Linked DNA regions of Ovis aries. The protein of the gene in region 3 binds, or shares a complex with, the protein of the main gene of each other region. Links are inferred from orthologs where the notes say so. Each region holds a gene or a part of one and is shown on either strand. Other genes may lie near its edges.

The links. The genes of interacting proteins can lie anywhere in the genome.
Region 1: MED24 (region 3) and MED7 share a complex: the UniProt entries of both Homo sapiens proteins name them as parts of the mediator complex. The link is inferred for Ovis aries from reciprocal best matches to the Homo sapiens genes MED24 and MED7.
Region 2: MED24 (region 3) and MED8 share a complex: the UniProt entries of both Homo sapiens proteins name them as parts of the mediator complex. The link is inferred for Ovis aries from reciprocal best matches to the Homo sapiens genes MED24 and MED8.

The regions. Positions count from the first base shown.
Region 1 is NC_056058.1:66,397,063-66,406,980, forward strand, and holds the start of MED7 (mediator of RNA polymerase II transcription subunit 7), read right to left. Parts: upstream 6,485-9,918; 5' UTR 6,432-6,484; intron 6,041-6,431; 5' UTR 5,995-6,040; intron 1-5,994. UniProt on the Homo sapiens protein: Component of the Mediator complex, a coactivator involved in the regulated transcription of nearly all RNA polymerase II-dependent genes.
Region 2 is NC_056054.1:18,063,471-18,073,441, forward strand, and holds MED8 (mediator of RNA polymerase II transcription subunit 8), read right to left. Parts: upstream 6,485-9,971; 5' UTR 6,463-6,484; coding exon 6,457-6,462; exon of another isoform or gene 5,368-6,456; intron 5,122-5,367; coding exon 5,003-5,121; intron 3,997-5,002; coding exon 3,852-3,996; intron 3,443-3,851; coding exon 3,302-3,442; intron 3,108-3,301; coding exon 3,026-3,107; intron 2,658-3,025; coding exon 2,409-2,657; intron 1,682-2,408; coding exon 1,617-1,681; 3' UTR 1,297-1,616; downstream 1-1,296. Other genes in the region: KICSTOR complex protein SZT2, read left to right, coding at 6,641-6,667. UniProt on the Homo sapiens protein: Component of the Mediator complex, a coactivator involved in the regulated transcription of nearly all RNA polymerase II-dependent genes.
Region 3 is NC_056064.1:40,106,672-40,116,817, forward strand, and holds the start of MED24 (mediator of RNA polymerase II transcription subunit 24), read right to left. Parts: upstream 5,265-10,146; 5' UTR 4,918-5,264; intron 3,228-4,917; exon of another isoform or gene 2,935-3,227; intron 2,766-2,934; 5' UTR 2,707-2,765; coding exon 2,577-2,706; intron 2,490-2,576; coding exon 2,407-2,489; intron 698-2,406; exon of another isoform or gene 670-697; coding exon of another isoform or gene 1-669. Other genes in the region: large ribosomal subunit protein eL6-like, read left to right, coding at 1-669. UniProt on the Homo sapiens protein: Component of the Mediator complex, a coactivator involved in the regulated transcription of nearly all RNA polymerase II-dependent genes.

The DNA.
Region 1 (9,918 bases), on a different chromosome or scaffold from region 3:
AAGGACTATGACTATCACAGTTCTCACTGGGTTCAAAACCACGCACATAAGCTTCATAAGTATTTGTTGGTAGCTCCATTCATTACACAAAAGCTTCAAGTCAAAGGGAATTTGAAAGCAGGTACAAACATCTTTAATGTGTATTTCCTGCTGCAAGTATTTAATGTTTGTCTAATATATGACAATAATGATTATGATGACAAGTAATACTTGAGTGCATACTACTTGCCAGGGACTGTTCTAAACTTCTCTCACGGTTGTGAGAAATCTGAGAAAAGAAAGGTGAGCTTTCCATTTCAAGGATGAGGTCACTGTGGCTCAGAAAGGTTGATCAACTTGTGTAAAGGAAGTAGCCAGAGCCAAAAGATCTCAAACACTACATTATACTATCTTTCAAAGATAAATAAGAAACACTGACTCCATCTTAGTGTTCCTTACAATCTATCAAGGAAAACGGACAAAAAATAACTGTACGTTTTAAGGGTACTACAAAAGACCCACAGATCTGACCACCAAAAATCAATCTAAAAATTCCATATGGGAAAATACATCAGAAGCAAAATTAAAAGATAAGCCTATTTTTCTGGAAGAAGAATGCATGCAAGCTAACAGGGGTAAATACTAGAAATTTAATTATGATTTTTTAAAACATATTTTCTGATTCCATCCCTATGAGAAGAAAAGCACTGACTTCATATTGCCTTTTATTCACAACTCTACCTCTAGTACCTTAAACAATGGCTAGAAGAAGCTAAATCCTCAATAAGGATCCACTGAGTTTTTTTTAACCTGACACCACCTTTATGGCAGAAAGTGAAGAGGAGCTAAAAAGCCTCTTGATGAAAGTGAAAAGGAGAGCGAAAAAGTTGGCTTAAAGCTCAACATTCAGAAAACGAAGATCATGGCATCTGGTCCCATCACTTCATGTCAGATAGATGGGGAAACAGTAGAAACAGTGTCAGACTTTATTTTTTTGGGCTCCAAAATCACTGCAGATGGTGACTGCAGCCATGAAATTAAAAGACGCTTACTCCTTGGAAGAAAAGTTATGACCAACCTAGATAGTATATTCAAAAGCAGAGACATTACTTTGCCAACTAAGGTCCGTCTAGTCAAGGCTATGGTTTTTCCTGCAGTCATGTATGGATGTGAGAGTTGGACTGTGAAGAAGGCTGAGTGCCGAAGAATTGATGCTTTTAAACCGTGGTGTTGGAGAAGACTCTTGAGAATCCCTTGGACTGCAAGGAAATCCAACCAGTCCATTCTGAAGGAGATCAACCCTAGGATTTCTTTGGAAGGAATGATGCTAAAGCTGACACTCCAGTACTTTGGCCACCTCATGCGAAGAGTTGACTCACTGGAAAAGACTGATGCTAGGAGGGATTGGGGGCAGGAGGAGAAGGGGACGACTGAGGATGAGATGGTTGGATGGCATCACGGACTCGATGGACGTGGGTCTGAGTGAACTCCGGGAGTTGGTGATAAACAGGGAGGTCTGGCGTGCTGTGATTCATGGGGTCGCAAAGAGTCAGACACAACTGAGCAACTGAACTGAACTGAACTGATGTTAAAAAAAATAACAGAAAAATAGGCAAAAGATGAAGAAAATGCAAATGCTGAATAAAAGCAAGAAAATATTCAGAATAATACCCTGCTAAGAGCAAATTTTTAAAAGAATCCTTTTTGAAACAATTCCATTCACCATTGCAACAAAAAGAGTAAAATACCTAGGAATAAACCTACCTTAGGAGAGTAAAAGACGTGTATAATGAAAACTATAAGACAATGATGAAAGAAATTAAAGATAACATAAATAAATGGAGAGATATATCATGTTCTTTGACTGGAAGAATCAATATTGTGAACGTGACTATATTACCCAAAGCAATCTACAGATTCAACACACTACCTATCAAATTACCAACATTTTTCACAGAACTAGAACAAAAAATTTTACAGTTTGTGTATGGAAACACAAAAGACTCTGAATAGCCAGAGCAATCTTGAGGAAAAAAAAATGGAGTTAGAAGAATCAACCCTCCTGAATTCAGACTATACCACAAAGCTATAATACTCAACAATATGGTACTGGCACAAAAACAGAAATACAGATGAAAGAAACAAGAAGAAAAGCTCAGATAAAAATCCTCACACCTATTGGGCACCTTATCTTTGACAAAGGAGGCAAGAATACATAAGAGAAAAGACAGCCTCTTCAATAGATGGTGCTGGGGAAACCAGACAGTAAACTACATGTAAAAGAATGAAGTTAGAACACTTCCTAACACCATACAAAAAAAAAATAAACTCAAGATGGATTAAAGACCTACACATAAAGTCAGAAACTGTAAAACTATTAGAGTAAAACATAAGCAAAACACTCACTGACTTGAATTACAGCAAGATCATCTTTGATCCATCTCCTAGAGTAATGAAAATTTAATAAAAAGAAGTAAACAAATGGGACCTAATTAAACTTAAAAGCTTTTGCATAGCAAAGGAAAATTTTTACAAGGTGAAAAGACAACCCTCAGAATGGGAGAAAATAATTCAAATGAAACAACTGACAAAGGATTAATTTCCAAAATATACAAGCAGCTCATGCAACTCAACACCAGAAAAACAAATAACCCAAAGAGTGGGCAGAAGACCTAAACAGTATTTCTCCAAAGAAGACATACAGATGGCCAACAAACACATAAAAAGATGCTCAACATCACTCATTATTAGAAATGCAAATCAAAACTATAATGAGGTATCACCTCATACCAATTAGAACGGCTATCATTTAAAAATCAATGAACAATAAATGCTGGAAAGCCTGTGAAGAAAAGGGAACCCTCCTGCACTGCTGGTGGGAATGCAAACTGATACAGACACTACACAGAACAGCATGATTCCTTAAAAAAACTAGGAACAGAACTGCTATATGACCCAACAATCCCACTACTGGGCATATATCCTGAGAAAACCATAATTGAAAGAAACACAAGTACCCCAGTGTTCATTGAAGCCCTTTTTACAATAGCTAGGACATTGAAACAACCTAGACGTCCACTGACAGATGACTGGATAAGGAAGGTGTGGCACATATACACAATGGAATACTACTCAGCTATAAGAAGGAACGCGTATGAGTCAGTTCTAATGAGATGGATGAACCTAGAGCCTATTATTGGAGAAGGCAATGGCACCCCACTCCAGTACTCTTGCCTGGAAAATCCCATGGACGGAGGAACCTGGTAGGCTGCAGTCCATGGGGTCACTAAGAGTTGGACATGACTGAACGACTTCACTCTCACTTTTCCTTTCATGCATTGGAGAAGGAAATGGCAAGCCACTCCAGTGTTCTTGCCTGGAGAATCCCATGGATGGGGGAGCCTGGTGGGCTGCCGTCTGTGGGGTAGCCCACAGACTGAAGAGACTTAGCAGCAGCAGCAGCAGAGCCTATTATACAGTGAAGTCAGAAAGTCAAATATTGTATGTTAATGCATGCGTATGGAATCTAGAAAGATGGTACTGATTAACCTATTTGCAGGGCAGCAATGGAGACACAGGTATAGAGATCAGACTTGTGGACACAGTGGGGGAAGCACAGGGAGGGACAAACTGAGATAACAGCATGGAAACATGTACATTATAATATGTAAATGTACCATATAGATAGCAAGTGAGAATCTGATGTGTGACACAAGGAGCTCAACCTAGCGACAACCTACAGGGGTGGGATGGGGTAGGAGATGGGAGGGGAGTTCAGGAGGGAGGGGATTTATGTATACCTGTGGCTGATTCATGATATATTCATGATTCATGATTCTGATATATGGCAGAAGTCAACACAATACTGTAAAGCAATTATCTTCCAATTAAAAAAAGAAAAAAAAGGCAAAAAATCCCCACATATATGTAAAATAGCTAATGAGAAGTTGCTGTATAACATGGGGAGCTCAAATCTGGTACTCTGTGACAACCTACAAGTGTGAAATGGAGTGGGGGTCGGGGGGAAGGTTCAAGGGAAAGTTGACATATGTATACTTATGGCTGATTCACAGTTGCCAATTAAGCGATTATCCTTCAATTAAAAATAAATTCTAAAAAAGGATCCTATCCATATAAGACTATCAAGATTTCAAATACTCCATCACTTAACAAACAACACTTTCTATGTGGCAGGTGCTGGATTCCAGCACAGATCACACTCTACCTTTCAGCTTCTTCAGAGTGGTCATGCCAATTTTACAAGCAAGCTCTTAGCTAATCTGGCCCTGCAGGGAAGTCTTCTGCAGTGGAAAACATCCGTTGCCCTGAGGTCCCACTAAACACCATCACAGCCACCATAACACTCTAAGGTGGCAAGCCAGTATCACCAAGAGAATATGGGGAATTCTCATACACAACTGATAGGAAACAAATATGCTTACTTGGAATTAATGTGACAGTATCAAACACTGTAATGCTGATTTCTTTGACCCAACAATCCTTTTTATTATTTTATATTGAAGTATAGCTGATTAACAACACTGTTGCTGTTGTTCAGTTGCTAAGTTGTGTCCAGCTCTTTGCGACCCCATGAACTGCAGCACCTCAGGCCTCCCTGTCCCTATCTCCCAGAGTTTGCTCAAATTCATTTCCACTGAATCAGTGATGCTATCTAATCATCTCATCTTCTGCCTCCCCCTTCTCCTCTTGCCCTCAATCTTTCCCAACATCAAGGTCTTTTCCAATAAGTCAGCTCTTTGCATCAGGTAGCCAAAGTATTGGAGCTTCAGCATCAGTCCTTCCAATGAGTATTTATTGTTGATTTCCTTTAGGACTGACTGGTGACCCAACAATTCTATTTCTAGAAATTTATCCTACAAAAATATTGGTAGAAGTACACAAATCTGTGTATCAGGATATTTAATGCAGCACTGTTTGAAAAGAGCAGGAAAAGCTGGAAATAACCCATACCTTCATCCATACCTTCACCCATATGAGGCCTTGGATAAAATGTCTATATATACACAATATGGCCACTAAGAAAAAAAGGGGTGAAAGTACATGGAATGGAGGGTTATAAATACTGTGTACTGGTTCATTTATTTACAACACACTTATGATAGTTGCAAATAGTTATAACCAATGTTTTAAAACTTTCAAAAATTCAGACTTTTCAGTCTATGAATAATATTCCATATTCTTCAGATTCTTCAAATGTTAACATTTTCCCTCATCTGCCTTATTGGTCTCTCATCTCTTTATCTAAAATACTTCAGTGGGTAGACCCAAATAAGAATGTCCTCTTAGAACCACATAATTAACAAAATCAGAGAATTAGCAATCATCTGGTACTTCAAAATAAATTTCATACAGCCTAGGTTTCACCCCTTCAAGCCTTTTCAGATTGGAATTCCTGTTTTGTGCTTCCCAGAACCTTGTGTAATCCTCTACTTAAACTGCCAATCCCCAAAGGGCAACTAAATGACAGGTATCATTGTTTTATATTCTCTTTTACTTAAGCTTCAAACTAATTCTATGAGTTACTACTACTATCAATTTCATTTTAGAGATGAGGGTCCCAAGTCTGTCTCACCAAGAAGTATCTGTAACCAGATCAAACGGCCAGGAAATGGCATAGCAGGAACTCTCAACCTTGCCTGTTATGGTTGCACAGCACAAGCTCCTTTAAATCAGTAAACAATGAAGCATCTTAGAGTACAAATGGAAACTGACATACAACAGAAATCATGTTTGTTTATACCACTTCTCCAGACTAAACTTGTCAAAGGCAATGGAGGTTTTTCCTAAGACATGCGTCAAGCATCAAAGCTGATTATCAGACTCAAGATCATCTTCTAGTGTTTGTTCCGTTCTGACGGATTTAACCCAAAAAAGAAAGGTATTGTAGGGTCTTATCTCCAGACGTTCGACTCGTTTATCTACTGTAAACGGAGCTGCTGGAATGTAGCTTTAAAACCTCCCCAGAAGATCTAATGAATGACGCCTGGGACCTACCTCCTTCCCCGTCTCCCATTAAATCTTTTGATTTCAGGAATGCTCCCTGAGGAAGAAGGGCGAGACTGGTTAGGGACAAGGCCAGAGAGAGGCCAGAAGACGTGGCGAGGCCACACAGCTCGGTAAACCAGCGGAGCGGGTCTAGAACTCAGGTGTGCCAACCTCCGGCCGGGCTCGGCCTCCCCCCGGAGGCGGCCTAGAGCCCGCCGCGCAGAGGGTACCTTCCCACGAGAGGCCAACTACCCCCACCCACCCCTGACCCCGGCTTCGCGAGCTGCGGGGAAGGTCGCGCTCTCTGAGGAACGCCGGAGAGGAAGGCGGACGAACGTACTCAGCACCAGGCCTCCCCGGACTCCCAGCCCTCCCAAAGGAAGCAGCGGGGTCCGGAAAAAGAAATGTACGAGGAACTGAGGCCCAAGCCGTCGCCGCCCACTTACTTCAGCTCTGGGCTTACACTAGCAGCCGCCTTCTCCACCTCAAGCCGAAATCCAACTTCCGGCCTCCACTTCCAGGAAGAAGCCACTGATACTGTCCTTTGATTGGCTGGAAAGAGCTGTCCTTTAACCGAGGCTCTAGTCCCGCCTCTGTGACGGTTGGCTCACCGTTTCGCGGGCGCATACTCCCTCTCCCCAGCCACCCCTTTCCTCCTACCTTCCCTCTGGCACCTCCCACCCTTCCGTGATTCTGCAGCAGCCACAGGGTTTGGGGTCGCGAAGAATGTGTTACTATTAAAAGTAGCTATTCTTTGCTTTCTTTTTCTATTTTCCTGAATATTCGCTGGAAGGACCAATGCTGAAGCTGGAGCTCCAATACTTTTTCCACCTGATGTGAAGAACTGACTCATTGGAAAAGAGCCTGATACTGGGAAAGATTGAAGGCAGGAGAAGAGGGTAACAGAGGAGGAGATGGTTGCATGACATCACCGACTCAAAGGACATGAGTTTGAGCAAGCTCCTGGAGTTGGTGAAGGACAGGAAGGTCTGGCGTGTTGCAGTCCATGGGGTCGCAAAGAGTCAGACACGACAGCTATTTAATATTGTGAAAATCAAGTCAGTATTTGGATACCAATTATCTGAGGATCCAGTAAAGTCCACCCCTTTGTGACTGTCTGTATCAGTCTGATACTGGATGTATCTATTAATCATCTTTTAATCTGTAGTTTCTTTCCTCTACCTCATTCTCCCCCACCCACAATCAATTTATTTGTTGAAGAAGTTTGTTCACTTTTGAGCATACCCCAGTCAGGCTTTTCTCCATTGAGACCAATGTTACATAAATTGTGACCTCCAGTGGGCATTCTTTAGTCCTCATCTTGGTCTACTTTCAGCAGCATTTGGCACACTTGATCATTTGAATTGCCCCCGGACTGAGTTCTCCTCTTAATGTCATCCAGGTGATAATACTCAAGTGGTATCTAGATCCTGGCAACACCCTGTCCCTTGCACTCAGACCCTCTTAACCAACAGTATTACACATCTTTATTCGACTGCAAAGTCTCCAACATAACAGTTCATCTTCACTCCTCTTTCTCCCATACTCTATTCAAAATTAAGGTATCAGTCTTTTGTATTAGTTCTATGTGGAAATAAGTAAAAGTTCAAAATATTAATTTTCACCATCCGCACTGCCTCCATCCTCATCCATGCCACCATAATCTTCCCCTGACTTCTGAAATAACCCCCTAAATGTCAATAGTTTCCTTGCTTCCACTTTTGTCCTTCCTTAGCCTATTTAAGAGTTGGACATGACTTAGCGACTGAACTGCAACAACAACAAAGCCTATTTTATCATACTGTCTTAAAATATGACTGATCTGGCCACTCTTAAAGTTCTCCAAGGCTTCACATTCATAATAAAATCTAATGTCCTTACCATGGCCTATAGGAAATGCTACAAAAATCTAGTCCTTGGCTACTTCCCCAATAATACTTCCTACCATTTTTTTCTATGCTCAATCTTCTCCACATACAAGGTTTCTTTTTTTCCCCTGAAATTTTCAAGTCTACTTCTGCCTAAAGGCCATTGCATTTGCCTAGGACTCTCTTTCCACAGATATTCACATGCCTCACCTCCTCACTTCATACAGGTTTCTGGTCAAATGTGACCTTGTCGGATTGGTCTTTCCTGGATACTCAAAAGTGGCATGCCCCAATCATTTTCTTGGGGAATGTCCCTAATTTCCTTACTATGTATTATCTGTCCTTCATAGAATGTGTTACCATCTGATATCATATTATGTAGTATATGATTTGTTTACATTCATTGTCTTTTTTTCCCCATCAAAATAAAAGATTCATCATCATAGGGTCTTCGGTTCATTCACTTCTGCATCAGTACCTGGAACAATACCTGGAATTGGCCAGTACTCAATGAACGTCCACTGAATAAGTAACAAAATGAATATAATCATTTTCAAATGAATTCACAGTGTGACATCAATGGATAAACCAGGGTCTATATAGCCAAAGCCTGTTATGTGAAATTATCTTCCTTCCAACTCTTACTATTGTGAATATACTGGATGAGTACCCTAGTTCTTGGTGCACATGTATATGTTTGTGTACCTGTTCAATGTTTTCCTTGAGATAAATTTCTAGAAATGAAATTTTGGACCCAAAAGTTCAGTGTCTTACAGTTAAAGGGAGGATCAAGGCTAGAATCTGGGACTCTTGACTGTTAGTCTAGTGTTCTTTACAATAAGCTACAAATGAATAATGGTGTAAAATTCACATCATGAGAGGAACTAGTGAAAATATGGTGTATAATAGACATTCGCTTATGTGGCTACACCTGGAATCTGAATGGAAAATTTCTCTCTTAAAGGTGCCTTTTCTAGCTTAACAAGGGCTGTGAAAGTCGCTCATTTGTATCTGACTCTTTGCAACCCCATGGACTATACAATCTACGGAATTCTCCAGGCCAGAATATTGGAGTTGGGTAGCCAACCCAAGGATCAAACCTAGGTCATCCACATTGCAGGCAAATTCTTTACCAGCTGAGCCACCAGGGAAGCCCAAGAATACTGTGGTAGGTAGCCTGTCCCTTCTCCAGAAGATCTTCCTGACCTAGGAATTGAACTGGGGTCTCCTGCATTGCAGGCAGATTCTTTCCATCTGAGCTACCAGGGAAGCCCAATAAGGGCTACACCTGTTGAGTAAGTCTTTATTGCATCTATTATGCCAAGCACTGTTCTGGATGGTAAAAATGACAAACAAAAGCTTTGCCTTCTCATAGAGAGATACAAACAGCAGCATACAAGAAAAAAATAATAATTCTAGTAGTGATAAGTTGCTATGGAGAGAAAAATAATACAAAATAAAGTGATAGCTATGTAGGTGGATGGGTAGCTACTTTCTAGAAGGTGATTGGGGTAGCCTCTGCTAAGAGGTACTTTGGAGCTAAGACGAGTGATGAGAAGGAGTCAACTGTGCAAATATCTTGTAGACAGCAAGTGTGAAGAGTCTGAGGCTGCTGTGATCCTCTGAGTTAGACAGGAAGGGAACCCATGTGTTTCACAACTAAGAGCAAAAGGAGAGTGGGAGGAGATGAAGGGGCAGTTACGGGCAGGAGTCCATGGTAACTAGCATCTTGGCTGTTTTTAGGAGTGTGGCACATTGTAAAGAATATCATTTTTATAATTTTACCCTAAGTGGCAAGCAGAAATAGTCACCCTCTTTCTACACCCTGTCAATTTTTTTAAGGTTGTTTGTTCTTCAGTTGCTCAGTCATGTCTGACTCCTTGTGACTCCATGGACTGCAGCACCCCAAGCTTCCCTGCCCTCACTATCTCCCAGAGTTTGCTCAAACTCATGTCCATTGAGTTGACAGGTTTATTGAGTCATAATTCACATAAAGTAAAATTAACTTCAGGTGGACAGTTCAATGAGTTTTGATTAATATATTCTGCCTTCTAAACACTATCGC
Region 2 (9,971 bases), on a different chromosome or scaffold from region 3:
CAAATACCAAAGTGCTAATATGTGACAGAAGAGAACAGAGCAAAGGCAGCTGGGAGGAATCAGCAGCCCCTCTTATTACCTCTCAGGACTTTTAGATCAAACCTACAGATAAGACAAAAAAAAAAAAAACAACCTAAGAAAACTTTTTATTGGAGAAGAAAAAAGGATTGCCTTGGGACTTGGTGGTCCAGTGGTTAAGACTTTGGGCTCCCATTGTAAGGGGCCTGGGTTTGATCCCTGGCTGGGGAACTAGATCCGATATGCTGCAATTAAGAGTTCACCTGTTGCAACCAAAAATCCTGCATGCTGCAACTAAGACCCAGCACAGCCAAATAAATAAAATTTTTTAAAATACTGCCTTGCAACAACCTTGAAAGTCTCTGACGTGTAGTCTCCAATCCCCACACAGCTCTCTCAATTTACCTGCTGTCAGATAACCCTGACACAGTGGTCATCAACTTAAATAACTTTATTCAGAGCAATCCTTTGGTCCACTTCTGCTGACTCAACTCCTGCCCTTGCTTGCAAAGGAGAGCCAAGAAAGGCAGCTTAAGCTGGTGACCCAAGCCCACTCTCCTCTCCAGCTTTATAGAAGCAGGCAAAAGTGCTGGCGGCTGCCACCTCCCACCATCCACTTGACCCTTATTGGAACCACTGGCTCAGTGGACTGGAGAAAAGCCATGCTAACTGAGCCCAGGAACCAGGCATACTTTGAGGATGACTCAACCACAATGAGAGACGGTGTGAGGTGCAAGTCCCCTTTCCCTCCAAAATATGAAAGAAAAAAAAAAAAGGTCTGGAGAACAAGGGACATTTTCACTTGCTCACAAAACCCTTTCTCACGTAGTCCTGCCTGGCAGAGCCACTTCCTGAGGAAGTCCCCACCTACTGGGACTTCAGCATCTTCCCTGACATGCCCAGGGTGGGGTAAAGGATAGGGGACTCTGACTATTTCCCAGATGAGAGCTGAACTGGCTTCTGAGAGGATGGAGAGTAGAGCAGTCCCAAGCTTCTCCAGAGTTGTAAGTGGATGGTCTGTCTCAGCCCGGAGGCCTCGTCACCTGCAGCCTGGAGAGATGGCCAGGCTGGAATGTGGGAAGCAAGGCCTGTGGAGGCAGCGGGCCTCTAAGGACACAGAAGCTGTCACCATCTCTGGCAGCACAAAATAAACACAGGCTTTCAAACAAAGCTGAGCGGTCCACGATCTTGTGTCCATCAGCTCACCACAGACACGAAGCAGTTTCAGATCAGGGCAAGTTCTGGATCGAGGACCGAGGAGGGGGCAGTGGGGAGAAGTGGCTGTAGAAACTCTCATTTATTGAATACTCATTATTTCATAGATTGTGCTAAGTGTTTTACATCATTTTCCCATTTTAATCCTCACAACAACCCTATGAGGTAGGTATTATCATCATTTATAAACCAGAAAACAGGCTCAGAAAAAGTAGGTCACTTGCCCAAGGTCACACAGCTAGTTGGCAGTGGAGATGGGATCTGTCTGTGGCCGAAAGCCTGTGTTCTTTTCATTGTACCCATCCAGGTCAGCTTTGGGCAAAAGGCAGTTTCACTGCCCAACTCTGAAAAGAACACCTGGGAGTGGAGGTTGCCACTCACACTCACCGCTGGTAGGGATGCATGGAAGCCGACTTGATGTTGGTTTTTATCCCACTTGGCATTTTCCCTAAAAAGAACACGAAGAAAGACACCTGAAGCACAGTCAGATGTTCGTCATAAATCAGAAGTGTTGCCTCCCAGGTTCCCTTCTGTCATCTCCTCCATCAGCTCAGAATCTGTGGCATCTGACCTTGGGTGACAAGGCTCAGAGGTACAGCTCCCTGCCCAGCCCTCTACCTGAAGATGGTCAGGAGGAGGAATAGCGGGAAGGGCTGGAGCACATCCCTGCAGGCTCTTGCTCCTCCCCTAATGGAAAAAGAGAGCTGTCCCTTTGCCTAGACAGCTTGGAAGAAAATATTTCTTCTAGCTGCTTATATCCGAACTCCTCCAGACTGTTCTGATAATTACTAAGTGAGCAGAAGAGACAGGATACAGAGCAAGGAATACGCGTAGCACTGGAAAACCTGCCTGCTTGTCAACTCCCAACACATCTACCCAGTGATCCTAATACCTAGGGTGAGACACTGACAACACACCCACCCAGAGTTAAAGGGCACAGAAGGGTAGCTAAGGGCAATTTTAGTCGAAGTTCTTTCTCATTGTCTGGTGTCTATTAACAGAGTCTCAAATGAGACTTTCACTCTCAAGAGTTTTTTTCTGGGTCACAGTCCAAGGAGAAAAGGAGAATGTCTCCAGCCCTGGGGATGGGGTGAGGGGGAAGTGTGGCAGATAACCCAGTTTATTCTCACATCCCTGCTCAAGGTCTGTCACCAAGCCAATCCTTGTCACCTTACCTGGCTGGCCTGCTTGGGCCATCTGCACCCCACTGAGCATTGGCTGCTGCTGATTTGGCGCTCCTGCTATCTGCACCTGCTGTAACCCTGAGGCTCCTGCGAGGACTGTTCCAGCTCCCGGCTGGCCTGGCTGGCTAGGACCACTGCTGCCTGAAGGCCTCCAGTTAGACAGCCCCTTTCCAAAGGCAACAGCTGCCACTAAGGCGTTGGTATCTGCCGGGTTAAAGGTCTGCTTGTTCGGCCGGAGACCTGAAGGGCAAAGTAAGTGGAGACCCTGAGGTATGCCTCTAGCCCTGGACTTCTTCTAGCACCAGGAAGACCAGTATGAGTGCCAGGGCTTGGAGTTCTGACTTCGGTAGCATCCAGACTTCCTGGCAACCCAGAGGAAGAGCCAGAGGACCCCCATGACTATCTCAGAATTCGCCCTTCTCCCTTTGCTCCTTTCTCCACCTGCCCCAGTGCTGGCCTGAAATATAGAAGGCCAACAGAATAGATGCATACCCTTGGCTAAACAGCACATCCCTGCATCCTCATTTCACCACTACCAATACCACCCTTCCTATTCCAGTGATCTTATCCCTCATTCCCCCATCACTTTGCCACCAATCCCTCCATACCTCCACTCTCTGATTCTCGTTCCTCTTTGCTGATTTTCTCCAGGAGGTTTGAGCACATTTTGTTCAAGCTCTGGATCTGTTTCTGTAACACATGTAAGTTTGTGCAGAATTTAGGGCAAGCAAGAAATGATTACAGGAAAGGTTCTTCCTTGAGCTATTCCAGGGGCAATGGAGGCATAACCAACTGCCATACCCTACAATAGAGAAGTGGGAATACTCAGCCTCTTATGGTAAAACTCGAGGGTGTAGGGCAGCAGGGCAGGGACTCGGTCCAACCTGCGCTGCGTCAGCACCAATGCGAGCAGCATCCGTGGTGAGCTGCTTCTCTTGCTCTTCAACCTCAGGGTCAGGCTTGGTTCTCAGATGGTCAGGGACCACCTCGTGGCTGAAAACAGGTACCCGTCCTTCAGTCTGCCTCTGTAACACACAGATTTTATGATCCTACTGTGCACTCCAAGAAGATTCAATTTTGGCCTGATATACACATAGTTCCTTCCACAGGCAAACAGTGCACTTTCAGGGAAAACATAACCTGAGACTAATAATATCTGGCTTCCTAAGACACTATTCCCCTCATTCCATCCTTCAACTCTATCTACTCACACCCTGTCTCTACCAGATCTAAGGATAAACCCTTCTCTACCACATTTTAATCAAAGATTGAAATAGGACAGAAGGACAAAAAGCAAGGCCTCCAAAATGTAGCCCCCACTTATTGCCACACACTACTGCATATTCAAAATTTCTAGATAGAAACCAACCACTGTGCTGTCAGTCCTCATTTAAGGGCTTTGTTTCCTAAGCTGCATCCCTCTCCTCCTCTTACCATGAGATCTTCATCTCGGTCTGGGGACAACACCAGAGGGATGATGACCTGGTTGCGGAACAGTGGTGTCTTTTCATGCTTCAAGACCTTGTTCAGAGTGTTCAGCTGTCCAGAAAGCAAGGCAAAGCTGTCCAGGACAGATGGCCTGGTGGTGGTAAGAAGATGTCAGCATGTTCCTGGTAAAGGAGCCTCAAAGGGGTCCCTCGGACTAGGAATAACCAGACTCACCCCCAAAACACTCATAGCCCTATGCTGGCCTGGGCAGGAACTAGACTGGCTCGCAGGGATTATGGGGTTAAGAAAGAGGGATACACTTTGAGTTTCTGACACAGATGGAGAAAAAAAACAGGTCATTATAGCAATCCCCACTTATCCTAAGTTTCACTTTCTGAGGTTTCGTCTACCCGTGTCAACCACAGTCCAAAAATATTAAATGATAAATCCAGGAAATAAACAATCCATGTTTTTAAATTGGGAGGTGTTCTGAGGAGTGTGATGAAATCTTGCTTCATCCCACTCTGTCCTACCCAGGATGTTGATCACCCCTTTGTCCAGCATATCCATACCGTATACGGTACCCACACAAGTAGTATAGAAAAAAAAAAACAACAACCCACAGTATATACAGAATAGGATTCAGTACTATCATAGTTTCGGGAATCCACAGTGGGTCTTAGAACTTACCCCTGATAGATCACGAGGAGCTACTACATTTGAATGGGGTGAGGACAATGGCAAAATAGGAACGATGGCTACACTATTATCACTAGAACTTCAGAAACCGGGTGAAAGATCCCTTTCCAGATCCAAACTTTCCTAGATTGGACCTAAAAGACTTGGCAAAACCCGTGCAAGAAATCCAGTATGAATACTGTGGTGGGAGGACCCACTGCAGGAGGACCTCATCCTGGAGAAGTCAAACAGGGAGAATCAAAAGCTAGAAAGAACCTGGGTTGAGAAATTGGGCATTTCTCTACTACCCTTAAAGTTGAGGTCCAAGGCCAACTTCAGTGTTAAATGTTGGGAAAGCCAGCTCTTTCTAAATCAAAAGATGTTCACAAAGTGATAAATGCTGGAGGAGGTACCCTGTGCAGCAGGTGGCCTAGCCCCCACCCATAGAGCCCTCCCCAGCTTGCCCTGGCAACTCTTACCAGGTCAGCCGGTCATACTCGTTCTCCAGCTTGTAAATGAAACTCCCCAGTGAGTTCTTCAGATCAGCCACTTGACTCAGCAGTGCATCTAATGATGCCTCAAGCTGTTTTTCCTCCCTCTGAGCCAATAGGAATAGGTTGGTTACTCAGCTGAGTGTAAGGATGACACATATAGAGGAAGGCTGAAAAGCCAGGGTGACAGTGTGCAACACCAGGACAGTGACACAGAATCTCATTGGCACAGGGACAGTCAGGCTGTTTCTGTCTCCTGTCAGCCGGGCTCCACCCCTATTTGGAGTTAGGATCACAGACAGCATCAACCCTTAGACCTTAAAACCCATTCATCTGACCTCAATTCCTCTTACCTACTGATTCCTTCCTCTCATCGCTTTTAATCCGGGCGTGACTGTTTCTCTATATTAGGCTTGGTTTGTATCTGTTCTCCCTCACTGGACAATTTTCACCAGACGTAATGCCTGGGATTTATTCTGTTCGGCACACCTCAGCAGCAGACGTACTCTGACGTCCTATGTTCTAGAACCTGCCTTGTGAACCTGGCTGTTCTTGGCAATGACATAATCTCTGAAAACCTACCTATACAGGAAGGCTCCTCTGAATACTGCCACCGTCACCTTCCTCTTCCCTCAGCATTTGCTGTTTCAACCTCCTCCTTGCTAAATCAATCTGCACTCACTTTATTGCTGTGCCAATATTCCTGTGCCCCTTTCGCAAGCTTAGTCAACCTATAAAAATGTACTGACAACTACCCTTCTGCAACAAACAGTGACAAATGAAAAACAAAACAAAACAGCAACCAAACCGCACATGCCCCTAAGCACTAGGCAAACTATATTAAAAGCTGAGGGGTCTCCAGTTTTATCTCATTTCACCCTTTAACTACTAGGGGTACACACTAGGAAGAATGAAACAGAACTGCAAAACCCCGAATGTGGAGGACACGAGCCGGGTTCCACCCACGGCCTCAGATTATTTAGTCTGGCTTCTGGCCACCACGGTCCCACAATTCCTTCCACCCTCGGGCTTCTCTCCAGTTAGATCCTCTGTTCTGTCAACATCCAACGTCTAGGCCGGGGCCTGAGCCCGAGCCCAATCCACCTCTTTCTTCAGCCGTCTTCCTTGGACTGCACCTTCCCAAATTTCAACTTGATCCTTTTCCACACCCTATCAACAACTTGATCCTTTTTCCACACCCTAGCAAGACAGTGCTGCCTTCTCCGTCCCAACCTAACCGCAGTTTCTGTCTCCTGTCAGCCGGGCTCCACCCCTATCCCTCTCCAGAGGTCCTCGTCCCCATCGCGCGTCCCTTTATCTCACAGTCGCGGTCTCGACCAAGTCCTCTCATCCCTAACTCCTCACTCTCTCCTCGGCCAGCCCACTTTCTGTCTCGTTACCCCAAGCTAGCTACCCGTCGCTAGCGCCAAACCGGTCCTCACCTGCATTGCTGCGGCGGGGGGCGGTGTCAATCACTTCCTCTTCCGGTTCCCAAGTAGGCCAATTAGAAAGCTCAGAACTCGACCCTCCCACTCACTTCCGGCCCCGCCAGTCGCGAGACCTCCGGGTCAGGGGTCAGGAGCGGAGCATCTTCTCTGGCCCGGGCCGGCGCGGGAGGGCTGTGTGATGGCCTCGGAGCGCCCGGAGCCGGAGGTGAGGGGCGGGCGGGCGCAGCGCTGGGCCTGTAGATCCGAGGGGGAGGGTCCGGCGGCCAGGCGCGGCCGTGGCCTCCTCCGGGTCTGGGGGCCGCCTGGCCCTCCTGAAGGCCCAATAGTAGCATCTCCTCACCCCTACTTTCCTCGGGGAGGCCTAGAGGAGGAATTCGTGGCTCAGTTTTGTTTGCCGAAATTTAATCCACGATTCTCTACTCTAGGGCTCTTGGGTTCTTTGACCTCGTAATGGCATTCAGAAAATCTGTATTTTGATCTTCTGTTGCAGTTTCAGTGGGCAGGTTTGCCGGTTGCTGCCTCATTCAAATATTATTGGAATGCCATAAACAGCATAAATTAATTAGGTTCTAGCGCTCATGCAATTGGAGAGCAGCTTAGATTTCATGAAAAAACGTTGGATTCAGAGTGAAACCTCGTTCTGGTATTGGCGCTGCCCTGTAGCTATCTGTGCAACTTTGGGCAAATCTTGACTTCCCGGATCCTGTTTCCTTCTTTGTAAAATATCTATCTTCAGGTCTATTGTGAGGATCACACGTTTTAAATGGGAAAATGCAAATGAAGCATCCATTAAGTACGAAGGACCATGCAAGGAACTTTTGTATACATTGTGTGGTTCAGACTTGTGCAAGGAAGGTGACAATACCCATTTCCATATACAGACAAACTAAAAATCGAGGGAAGTGAAGTACCTTACCCAAGTGCTACTCTCAGCTGGGGAGTGGCAGAGTTTTGTAATTAGAAGTCTAAAATGTCAGATTTGGAAAGAAAACATCACTAGGAGAGTTGCCCAATGTTACAGGAGAACATGTGAGTGGATGGGAAGGGTGAGAGGTGTATAATCATGTATTGAATCCTTACCTATCGAATGCTTACTGTGTCCCAGAGACCATCTTAGCGCTTTACCAATGTCAAAGATTACTCTCAACCCTACACAGTAGACACTTATCCCCATTTTTCAGTTGAGGAAACTGAGGCACAGAGGTTTTAAGAGTAACAAAGTTGCACAGCTAGTAAGTGGCAGAGCCAGGACTCCAAAACAGGTGGTCCCTTGTGATCTTGTGTTCTTAGCCATAATGTTTACAGTGCAAAGAGAAAGTAGCCACAGGATGGTAAATCTCCAGTGCTAGGATTTGATGTAATGAGATCCAAGATTAAATACAACTGTAGGAAACTACCCTATTAAAAAGGATCAAATGTGCTCACAGGGCTGGTGGAGTAGCCTAGGCATCAGAAATACCATTACTGAGGAATACTCAAGGAATTTGGAGCATGTTTTGTGGATTAAAATGAGAAGACATGGAGGGATGTTGTGAAATACAACAAACCTTTCATGCAGATGGTCTAAAACAGCATTATCTAATAGAAACCCAATGCAGGCCATATATGCCAGTTTTTTAGAAGCCGCTTAAAGAGGTTAAAAAAAATAGGTAAAATTAATTTATAATATATTTTATTTAACCCCATATTTCCAAAATAGTGCCATTTCAACATGTAATGAATATTAAAAATTATGAGATATTTAACGTTCTTCTTTTGTACCAAGTCTTTAAAATCCAGAGTGTATTTTACTCTTAAGCATATGTCACTTTGGGCTAGCAATATCTCAAGTGCTCAGTAGCCACAGATAGTAATGGCTACCATACTGAGCAATGCAAATCTAAAATAACTTGAATCAACACACGTTCCTGGCAGTCTCACTCAACCACAAGTTCATTTGTTAAATTCTTGATTTGCATTTCTGCACATCTTACCCCAGAAGGTAAAGGGAGTGAAGAGTTAAAGTGACTGACTGTTAGAGGTTATTATAATCCCAATAGAGAAAGTTTGGGCCTAGTCAGATTTAAGAAGTCATCGTTCCTCAGATACTTAAATGATGTGTGCTGTTATGGACTTGGAATTGTGCTAAGTATCAGGGTGGATAGGGAGCAGTGTAAGACACTCCCTATTTTAATGGGGTGAACAAACATTGGATTATAATAAGTGCCTCAGAGGAAAAGTACAGAGCGAGTGAGTGTTTAACAAGGGTTCTTAACCTAATTGTTAAGTGAAGTGGGTGGATCCTAAAGCCTTCTCAGAGGAATGACATTTAAGCATGGAGGAGTGGAGGGTGGCAGTGAGGAGAGGCAGAATACATTGCAGGCAAAGGAAAATTGACAATCTGAGGGGAAGGAGGAGGAGAAGGCAATGGCAACGCACTCCAGTACTCTTGCCTAGAGAATCCCATGGACGGAGGAGCCTGGTAGGCTGCAGTCCATGGGATTGCGAAGAGTCAGACACAACTGAGCGACTTCACTTTGACTTTTCACTTTCATGCATCATTGGAGAAGGAAATGGCAACCCTCCAGTGTTCTTGCCTGGAGAATCCCAGGGACGGAGGAGCCTGGTGGGCTGCCGTCTATGGGGTCACGTAGAGTCGGACACGACTAAAGCGACTTAGCAGCAGCAGCAGAGGAGGAGGTGTGAGCCTTCAGAGAACTTAGAGGAAGCAGCTGCTCATGTGGGCTCAGTGACACTGAGAATAGCTAACACAAGTGTTTCCTGAGTCATCATCTACTACTTGGGAAATCCTTGTGAAATCGGCACAGTTATTATCCCTCTTTCACAGGTGAGGAAACTCAGGCACAGAGAGTTTAACTTCACCAAGGCCTTATTCTAATAAGCAGTGGAACCAGTGTGTGATCTCAAACTCAGGGGGAGGTGGGTGAGAGAGAAGACTGGTGAAGAAGATTCAGGTTGAAGCCATGCTTGAAGTTCAGGACTTTGGCATATGTACAGTGGTTCAAGGGCAGGTGAAAACTCTTGTGGAACGCTGTTAACAGAAAACAGCACAGGGTTGGAAAAGGCTTCAAGAATAATTTGTACCTTAACCGCCAAGGGACAGGGGCAACAAACAAAAAAACAAATCAATGAGATGGACTTTGCTCCCTTCATCCTGGCGTGCATAGTGTGCAGCACATGCCTCATGTCTTATTCAGCTTGCTATGGATGGTATGTAGGCCTCAGTGAATGTTCCAAAGAATGATAGGCTTTCTCTATCATTGTCTGATTCTCCGGGTTAATTGCCACAACATCCTTCTGAAGTAAACATTCTTATTCACATGTTACAGATGAAACTGAGGCCTGGAAAAACTGACTTGTCCAAGCTTGTTAAGTAGTAGAACATATTTGAATCCAGGTCTCTGCCTTCAAAACCCTGCTTTCTCTTTGCCAGACAACTCCAATGTACTTCAAACTCAGGAGGATTCAGTATCAGGGATTAAGTCTCCACGTAAGTGTCAGTGCTGTGA
Region 3 (10,146 bases):
GCCTTGTACAAGAGAAAATATTCAGCACCTAAATCCAAGGTCGAAAAGAAAAAGAAGGTTCGTGCTCTTGCTACTGTCACAAAACCAGTTGGTGGCGACAAGAATGGTGGTACGCGAGTGGTCAAACTTCGCAAAATGCCTAGGTATTACCCTACGGAAGATGTGCCTCGGAAACTGTTGAGTCATGGCAGAAAACCCTTCAGTAAGCATGTGAGGAAGCTGCGTGCCAGCATCACTCCTGGGACCATTCTGATCATCCTCACTGGGTGCCACAGAGGCAAGAGGGTCGTTTTCCTGAAGCAGCTGGGCAGTGGCTTGCTACTTGTGACTGGGCCTCTATCCCTCAATCGAGTTCCTCTGCGTAGAACACACCAGAAATTTGTCATTGCCACCTCCACCAAAATCGATATCAGTGGTGTGAAAATTCCGGAATATCTCACTGACACTTACTTCAAGAAGAAGAAGCTGCGTAAACCCAGACACCAGGAGGGTGAGGTCTTCGACACAGAGAGAGAGAAATACGAGATCACAGAGCAGCGCAAGGTTGACCAGAAAGCTGTGGACTCGCAAATTCTGCAAAGAATCAAAGCTGTCCCTCAGCTCCAGGGCTACCTCCGCTCTGTGTTTGCTCTCACAAATGGAATTTATCCTCACAAAGTAGTATTCTGAACTTCTTGCAAAGAACCTAATTAAATAACTTGTCATTTCAAAAAAAAAAAAAATTAAAAGAGGACAGAGCATTAAGAGTTAATACTAAACACGAGTTCATTTCTATGAAATCCAAATACAGGCAATATTAATCTATGGGTATAGAAAAAGGTGCTGAAGCTGAAACTCCAATACTTTGGCCACCTGATGCGAAGAACTGACTCATCTGAAAAGACCCTGATGCTGGGAAAGACTGAAGGTGAGAGAAGAAGGGGACGACAGAGGATGAGATGGTTGGATGGCATCACCAACTCAATGCACATGAGTTTGAGTAAATTTGGGGAGTTGATGACGGACAGGGGGGCCTGGTGTGCTGCAGTCCATGGGGTCGCAAAGAGTCAGACACGACTGAGTGAATGAACTAAACTGAACTGAATAGAAAACATTTAGTGGTTACAGGAAGATGGACTAGAAAGGGCACAAGGAAACTTTCTGGGAGAATGGAAATGGTTTATCTTATTTTGGATGTTAGCGACATAGGTATACAGTTACTAAAACTCAAGGTTAATTAAAAGGGAAAAATATTTTAATAAACCTTTCAAAATATCCACATTTATCTGAAAGGCTTATTAAAATATTCTTCCTTTTTCAAGCTAAATATCTGATGTGCAAGGCCAGATTTTATTCAGCTGAAAGAGCCTACTGCAACAACTGAATGCAGAAGCAGCTATGAGAATTCAGCTGTAATCTATTAAGCCAGAATTAAAGAGATCTGTAAAACAATACCACTTTCCTCACTCATTTTTGTTTTGGAAAATATGGTTACTTTTTCATTAAAACGTTATGTATGTTAATATACAATGGGTTTACTTTTTGTTACTTTTAAATACATAAGTATTTTTTTAATTTCTAAAGTGGTAAATATGAATAGATATAATACATATAAACAAAAGCTCTGCAGGAGTCTCAATTTTTAAGAGCATAAAATGTTCTAAGGCCAAAACTGCTACTCTAGCCATTGTTATTGTTTAGTTGCTAAGTGGTGTTCCAACTCTTTCAGGACCCCATAGACTGTAGCCCGCCAGGCTCCTCTGTCCATGGGATTTCCCAGGCAACAATGTTGGAGTGGGTTGCCATTTCCCTCTCCAGAGGATCTTCCTGACCCAGGGATCGAACCGGTGTCTCTTGCTTTGGCAGGCAGATTATTTACCACTGAGCCACCAGGGAAGCCCTACCGTACTCTAGCCATATCACGTTATTTTCAATTCCTAAATATCATGTGATGTTTGTCTCCCAACCATTGCATATTCTTTTCTCTCTGCTTTGTACACTCTCATCAATCTCCTTGGCTAATTCCCATTCAACACTCAAGTCTTGGTTTAAACATCACTTCCTCCCTGGTTGCTCAACCTGGGATTAGGTATCCCTCCCATGTACTCCCATAGTACTCTGTCCTATATCGTAATCCTATCCTGTGATTGACTGCTTATTCACATGCCTATATTACTCACGAAATACCTGTGCACTGGGACTAGACCTTGTTCACAGCTAAATCCCCAGGGCATATGTGAATATTTATTGATAGAGTAAATTAATGTAATATTCATCATAACCAATGGAGTATTATTATTTTCACAAGAAAACTGAGGCTCAGAGAAACGATGTGCTCAAACAAATTCACCTAGAAAATCTGAGCTGACAACTATATTCCAAGCCTTTCACCTTCAAACCCTGTCTGGAATAGGTAGAAGAGTTTACCTGGGAACTAATGGCATACTTCAGGTAAGACAGGATGAGAGGATTGGGGGAAGGTCCAATCATGGCCTGCTCCAGTAGCGCTTCTGCAAGGAGAATAACAAAGGAAGACTCAGTGGTACAACATTTCTGGGTTTAGCCCTCCCATCCTTCCTTCCTACTTCACTTAAGACCTGCTAGGTTGAGAATGTCCCAGGTGGCTCCTTTGGGAAAGAATTTCTTCATGTTGACTGCCCACTGGTAGTCACTCCATCGCTCCTTCCAAGCTTGCAAAATGGCTTGCTTCAGGTTCACCACCTTCATGATTTCACTCTGAGGAGACCGGGCCGGTAGCAGTCAGCCTTGAGGTTGGAGAAATCAAGCTAGAGAAAGGGAAAGGGATTCTGAAGGAAAGAACCCAGCGGGGAGATGGGGGTGGAGCGCAGACTTAGATGGAATGGAGTCGATATAGGAAGATTCAAGGGAAGTAGAACTACAAAGGAAAAAAAAGGGGAAAGGGGCAAAACAGGGATCCTATTAGGTTATTCCCACCTGAACATTCTTTAAACAAGAGCAGTAAGAAGAGAGTGTCAAAGGGGCTTAATACAAAGAATAAATGGGCAGTAAGGGGTTAAGCCAGTTCCGGTTGCCTAAATATGCCCTTAGCTCTGGCTGCGTCCCTCGGCCATTACTACCCCAAATCCAGATTTCTCCCCCTACTTCCTCCACCCTCCCCAACCCTGAAACTATAATTCCCTATTTCCTTCCCATCCATCACCTCCCCAAATTTAAGCCTACCGGACAATCTAGTTCTAGATTCTAGGTGTCGCCATTTTGGCACTTATGAAAGAGCTAGCTTTCTATTGGCTGACAGTAACAAACATGAGCCAATAGGAAGGCAGCGAGACACCGGTCACACCACTATGTCTTCTGGGAATTGCAGTTCCTTGGACTCAGCTAGCGCGGAAGCTACGAGAAGCTAGTCAGTCGGCATTGTTTCTCTCCTTGAGGGAAAGCTGAGTAGGAGCTGAGGATCTCGAAGACTCAGGAAGCTTAGGGAGAAAGGCTCTCAAAAGGCGTACGGCAATTAAGTTTCTTCCAGTGACATCATTGTCGACCGAGCATTTAAATCAAATTCTGACACCCTTTCATTGCCCGCTAGTTAGTAGGCTCAACACGGGTGTGGCATGAGTTCATCCATAGGTTTTCTCTTTCCTGGCTTTTTTTCCCCTCCGAAACCCCCGGATTTCCCAGAGTTGTTCTCCTTTCCGCAACTATGTTCCAAAGCAACACTGAGTCTCTATCAGCTGAACACACCTTACCCACCCCTTAACCCTAAAATGTTCTCTCAGAATCTCCTGGCCCAGCCAACTGCTTTACTAAGGGAGAAGCAAGGAGGAAACAGCTTTAGGAAATCGAAGATAAGAAAAGTCTAGGAACCTGTCACAATCAAGAGGGCCTAAGGAGACATGATGACTAAATGTAACTTGCTATCCTGGATGTGATCCTTAAACAGAAGAACCTTAGATGAAAACTAAACAATCTGAATAAAGCATGGACTTCAGCTAATAATACTGTATCAATGTCAGTTAATAATACTGTATCAATGTCAGTCATTAATTGTAACACCTACCATACTAAGTAAGAGGTTAAAGGGGTAGGGATTGAAAGTGAGGTATATAGGAAACCTCTCTATCTTTAATTTTTTCCTATAAATCTAAAACTAAAATTCTTTTTTAAAAAATGTTTCTTAAAAGCAGTATGATTATGGCAATGACGACCCTGTATGCAAGACAGGAAAAAAGACACAGATGTGTATAACGGACTTTTGGACTCAGAGGGAGAGGGAGAGGGTGGGATGATTTGGCAGAATGGCACTCTAACATGTATACTATCATGTAAGAATTGAATCGCCAGTCTATGTCTGACGCAGGATACAGCATGCTTGGGACTGGTGCATGGGGATGACCCAGAGAGATGTTATGGGGAGGGAGGTGGGAGGGGGTTCATGTTTGGGAAAGCATGTAAGAATTAAAGATTTTAAAATAAAAAAAAATAATAAAATTTAAAAAAAAAAAAGCAGTATAATTAGACTTCCCTGGTGGTCCAGTGGTTAAGACTCTGCCTGCCAATGCGAGGACATGGTTTTAGCCCTGATCTGGGAAGATTCCACCTGCCGAGGAGCAACTAAGCCCATGGGTCACAAATGCTGAGCCCAGGCTCTAGAGACCAAGGGCCACGATCACTGAAGCCCACAGGCCCCAGAGCCCACACTCTGCAATAAGAGAAGACACCGAAGTGAGAAGCCCACAGACCACAACTAGAGAGTAACCCCCCACTCACCTGAACTAGAAAACGCCTATGCTCAGAAACCAAGATCCAGCACAGCCAAACATAAATTAATTACTTTAAAAACATGATGTCTTGCTCTAACCTATGGAACCACATTATAGATAATTATGTCCAGTGTTTGCAGTATTAGCCTTTTTCCAACCCCCCTTCCCCAGTTAGAAGCCAAAAGTAAATGCTACCCACCTCTGACTCCAACAGCTGAGCCTCTCCACACACAGCCCTCATCCCTGTCCTGCCCTGTGGACAGATCGCCACTAACATTTACAACCAGAACTACATTTACAACTGGAACAAGGCAGTGTCCTGCCAGCCCTATTTTCAGCCCATACCACAAGGAGCCTCAGATCCCCATCCATGAATCCAAGCTCCATCGATATTTCCCAATCCCCATTCTTTGGTCACCCTTTAAGTGTCAGACTCAGTTCTCAGAGGGATGAATCTGGAAGAACAGTCCCCCTCAGACTCTGGAAGCAAACCTGCAGCTCTCCGGGCAAAGAATGACAGAATCCTGGGTGTCTGGAGCATAGTCTAAACAGGGAGACCAGAACTCCTGTTCTGAAGAGGAGAGTGCAGCTGGAGGAGACCCAGATCACATCCCTCTAAGGTCATGACTGCCTTCAGCTTCCTCCTTCCCCATAACCCACCCACAGCCCCCTCCATTCTGCTCCCTTTAGTGCCTGCCCAAGCGACACCGCTGGGGAATAATGTTTATACAAAACAGCTGCCAAATATGTGTAGCCAAAGCTTCCAAAGCAGGAAGGAGGGAGAACCTAGACTTCTCACACTTGACCTCCAAACTCCCCTCAGCCACACACATCGAAGCCGGCTACAGACCCTGTTTCTCAGCAGTCTCTCATGTACCTGGCTTCCCTGCTTCTCCCAGGCCCCCAACTCTACCTTCGCCCGCCTCCCTCCTCTTATTCTTTTGCTGTCACTGCAGCTCAGGGCTTCCCACCTTGACACATTCATGCATCCTGCAGCTCCACTCCCATCCCACAGAACCCAAACTGTCCTCTTAGAAAAAAGCTGTCAACCTTGTGACTGCTCCTGACTTGGTCCACATGGGAGTGGAGAATGTTTGGGCCCTGAGAAGAGTGGCATTCTGAACTCAGACCATGCCCTTCTGGCAGGAAGCTAGCAGACCTCTGGGGAGGGGTGCCTTCTCCCCCACTTTACAGTGGCAGAGAGGCAGCTTTTGTCATGAGAGCATCTGCCTTCCCTGTCCCCCACCTCTCACCAGCAGCTCTTTCTCTTGGTTTGGCAGGGTTTCCCCAAGGACTGGACTTCTAAGAATTTAAAAGGACACCCTTATTTATTTATTTATTTATTTAATTTCGGCTGTGCCGTACAGCTTGCGAGATCTTAATTCCTTGACCAGGGATTGAACCTGGGCCCTCAGCAATGAAACCATGAAGTCCTAACCACTGGACTGCCAAATAATTCACTAAAAGGATTCCCTTAGTTCTGGGTAAGGGCTATTTGCAGTTTTTCTACTTTGTCCTCTCTAGTGTGTCAGCTTCAGAGACTGCCTTTCCATACCCCACCTCTTTCCCCGAAACCAGAAGAGCTTCTAGGGCCCTGCAGGCTCTCTGACTTGCCCTCCACAAGACCGGCATTCCATGATAATCCTCCAGTGGGTGAGAGAAGAGATGCCAATATCCTCTTTGGGAGTAGAAGGAAACCCTCCCCACACACAGTCCCTCTCAAATATCCCTCTTCTTTACTCCACTTTCCTGGGCTGTCTGTTTCTTCTCTCTCAGCACCGATAGAAGCTGAGCTCTCACTTCCACCCTCTTAGCCCCAAGGTCCAAGCGCTTCATTTTGCTGGCTGGGGAAGGGGACTGGCTGGAGAAGAGGGGCAAGTAAAAGCCAGCCAGCCAGGTAGAACTTCCCTGGTGGTCCAGTGGCTAAGACTCTGTGCTCCCAATGCAGGGAGCCTGGGTTTCACCCCTAATCAGGAAACTAGATCCCACATGCCACAACTAAGAGTTTGCATGCCTCAGCTAAAGATCCCACACGCTGCAAGTAAAGATCCCATGTGCTGAAACTAAGACCCAGCGCCCTCAAATTAAAAATGAATAAAAACAAACAAACCAAAAAAGCCAGCCAGGCAGAGTGACACGGCAACACTGAAGGAGTAGCTGAAAAGGAACCAGGTTGGAGTGGGGACTTGCGGTGGGGTAAAATGCTATGAGGAATCAGGGTTTGGGTACCCAAGGAGATGGGAACACTCCTCATCTAGGCTGGAAAGAAGTGTAGGGAAAAATGGCAAGTCTAAACCAAGAAACTCTGAAATACTTGGTAAGCACTCAAGGCACAAAGGGTGTCATCATCCCTTCTGTCTATAGGGAAGAACATTTTCCTTTGGAAGCTTGCCTGGGTCCCCCCACTATGGGGAGTTAATTGGCAGCAGGTGGATGGGAAAGAAAGCAAGTCATTCCCACACACTCCACACTCTGTACACAGCTGGCTCCAAACCAGTTCCCTCCCCTTACCCGTCCCCACATTAAGCTCTCCACTCGCTGTCTATCTGGGAAAGGGGAGGATGGAGAAGACTGCAAGGTGGTCCCCCCTTAGGGACAGTTCCTGGATCCCCCCCAGTTCTGCCTCTGTCTTCCCACTGGCCCCAGGAGAGGTCCAGAAAGAGGCCAGCCAGGACAGTGAAAGGCAGAATCTGAACCTTTGAACCACTGAACCGCTCTGAACCTCAGAGTGGTTTCTTCTCTAACATCTGAAGGATGCCTTCTCTCTCCACACCTTCCAGCAAGGAGGAGAAGAGAGTGCCGTGATCCTGAACCCTGGACAGGCCACTGCTCCTCCCTTCTGGCTCTGAGAGCCACTCTGTCCTCTTGACCTCCACAGCTGCCTGTGCCATCTCTCCTTTAACTGGAGGGGGAGGGCTGTGGTGTGGCAGGTAAAGGAGACTGCCCCCCACCTCTTCTCCTGGCAAAGCAGGATGAAGGGGTTCCAGGTGGGAACCTTCTGAGACCAGAAGCTGGAAACATTTAGGGGATCTGATACTTGAGATGTATTAAAGGTTTGAACAAAATTAGAATAAGCTCTGAAAGACAACCTGGAGAAGGTGTCAGCTTCTTTTTCTACTTTTACCCTCAGATACCAAAGCAAGGCTCAGCCAGGCCTGAGTCCCTTCCCTGGCTCTCTTTTTTGTGACCCATAAACAGGGCATCTGATGGGACAAAGGTGATTGATAGGGAGCAATAAGTGGTCACTTTACTCTTAGTTGGGCAACTGTTTGCTAATTTCTCAGTCTCTCATCTCTGCCAGCTGCTGATCCCCAAATTGCATAAACTGACCTCCTTTTGTCTCCTCCTTTTCCACTATCTTTTCTTGATTAAAAAATCAGTAAGAGAGAGAAATACTTAGGTTTTATGTTCTCTTAGTTGGTGATACCTCAAAATCCCATGGGAGGAGGAGCCTGGTAGGCTGCAGTCCATGGGGTCGCTAAGAGTCAGACACAACTGAGTGACCACTTTCTCTTTTCACCTTCATGCATTGGAGAAGGAAATGGCAACCCACTCCAGTGTTCTTGCCTGGAGAATCCCAGGGACGGGGGAGCCTGGTGGGCTGCCATCTATGGGGTCACACAGAGTCGGACACAACTGAATCGACTTAGCAGCAGCAGTAGCAGCAGCAGTTTCTTCTTTCCAGAACTCTCCAATAAGTGGGGCTGTATCTGCAGAGTCAGGGGGTGTCTCTTAGACACCTTGTCACTTGCTGACATCACCCAGGGCCCAGGAGGTCAAAGGGAGACAGGAAGGGGAATTACTTAGGCCCAGGCCACTGAAGGGCTCGTTCATTCCAGGGCAGGATGACGGAGGCCTTGTCCCTGTTCCTCCAAACTGTTTGTAGATTCTTGGTGGGAGTGGAGAATGCTGAGTGGGGCCTTGGCTTCCAGGATTTGAGAGAAGCTCTTTAGAAAGCTATCTGGATCCCCAGGTTTCTAGGGGTGAGACCCTTGATCAGTCCTGGGGTGCTTCCTAGCAACAGTCTGAGAGGGAGAGAAGGAATGGAAGAAAGAGAGGGAGAGGCCTGGGCATAGCTGTTCCGATGGGAGCCCAGAGAACAGGCTGTTCTTGCTGCCTCCTTGGTAACCAAAGTCTAAGAGGGAGGGGGCTGTCAGACATATCCCTGCAGGGTCTCTATCCCTCCTCACTTGAGCCCCACCCTTCTGCTCTCCCCTTGGACTCAGCCCTGAAGAGGTGGCAGGGATGGGAGGAGCAGCCTGGATAAGGATTTCGTGACAAGGAAGGAACACGCTGGGGATGAAATGACTCTGAGATGAGCTAGAAGCTTTGAGAAATGGGGGTAGGCAGGGTGAGTGGGGTGGGAAGGGGAATGACGCAACCCAGGGCCAGGGTCTGTAAGCGCCTAGACTTGGGCTGGATCCTGGCATCTGGCAAGATGCCTGCTTTGGAGGCAGTGTGCCCTTCACTTTGCCCTTGTCCAGGTCTGTTACCAGCCCAGGTCGGGAGTGAAGGAAAGTGAGAGAGGTAAGGAGAAGGTAGGTCGGGTGGACTTTCCTCTTTGAATTCAAAGTGCCTACTCAGGCCCTGGGGAAAAACAGATAGAGCAGGAGGCACTTCATTATCTATGGCTCTGGGTCTGGGATTTCATAAAGTCTCCCACGTCCAATAACTTTAGGGCCTTTCATTAGAGAGATGTGGTGGGGAAGCCAGAATGGAGGGAAGAGGAAAACCATAGTGCTTTCACCTTCCCGCTCTGGACTCCATCACCCTGCCTTAATCCTGACTGTCGTTAGACCTCTTCACTGCCTCTGGTTCTGGCTGATGGAGGCAGAAGATACAGTAGCTCATCTCATAAATATGTCTTATGCATTGAGATTATCTCCCAGCTCCCTGGGCAACCCAGTCCCAAAGGACTGTTTCCACACATGGCACAGCCTGCACCCTGGGCACTGCACAGCACAGCCCTGTCCCCTACCCCAGGATATCAGCCAAATCCCATCACTGAGGAGGTGGCATCGATTGGCAGACAGCCACCCTCGGTGCTCCTCCCACTGCACGCTGCCTTGACCCTGCACGATCAGCTTCCTGCCCCACACTGCAGCTGTTGCATGTTCACCATGAGCCCAGGCAGAACCCACAGGTTCACTGACTGCATGCTGACTCTGCAGGCTGTAGCTCTAGCTCCCCGCTGCCATCTCCCTTCCCCCATCTGCAAACCCCTCATCACCAGCACTCCACTCTGCATCCCAAGGGTTTCTCCCTAACTGCCCTTCTCATCCCTGTGATTCCAGGGAGGTCCCAAGAGAATTATCCTCCCCTCATCCATGCATTGCAAATGCCAGGACCCCCTGTAAAAGAAGTGGCTGCAACAGAGCCAGGATGCAGGTGGCTGAGACTAAGAAAAGCGAGGGCAGCCCAACTCCCA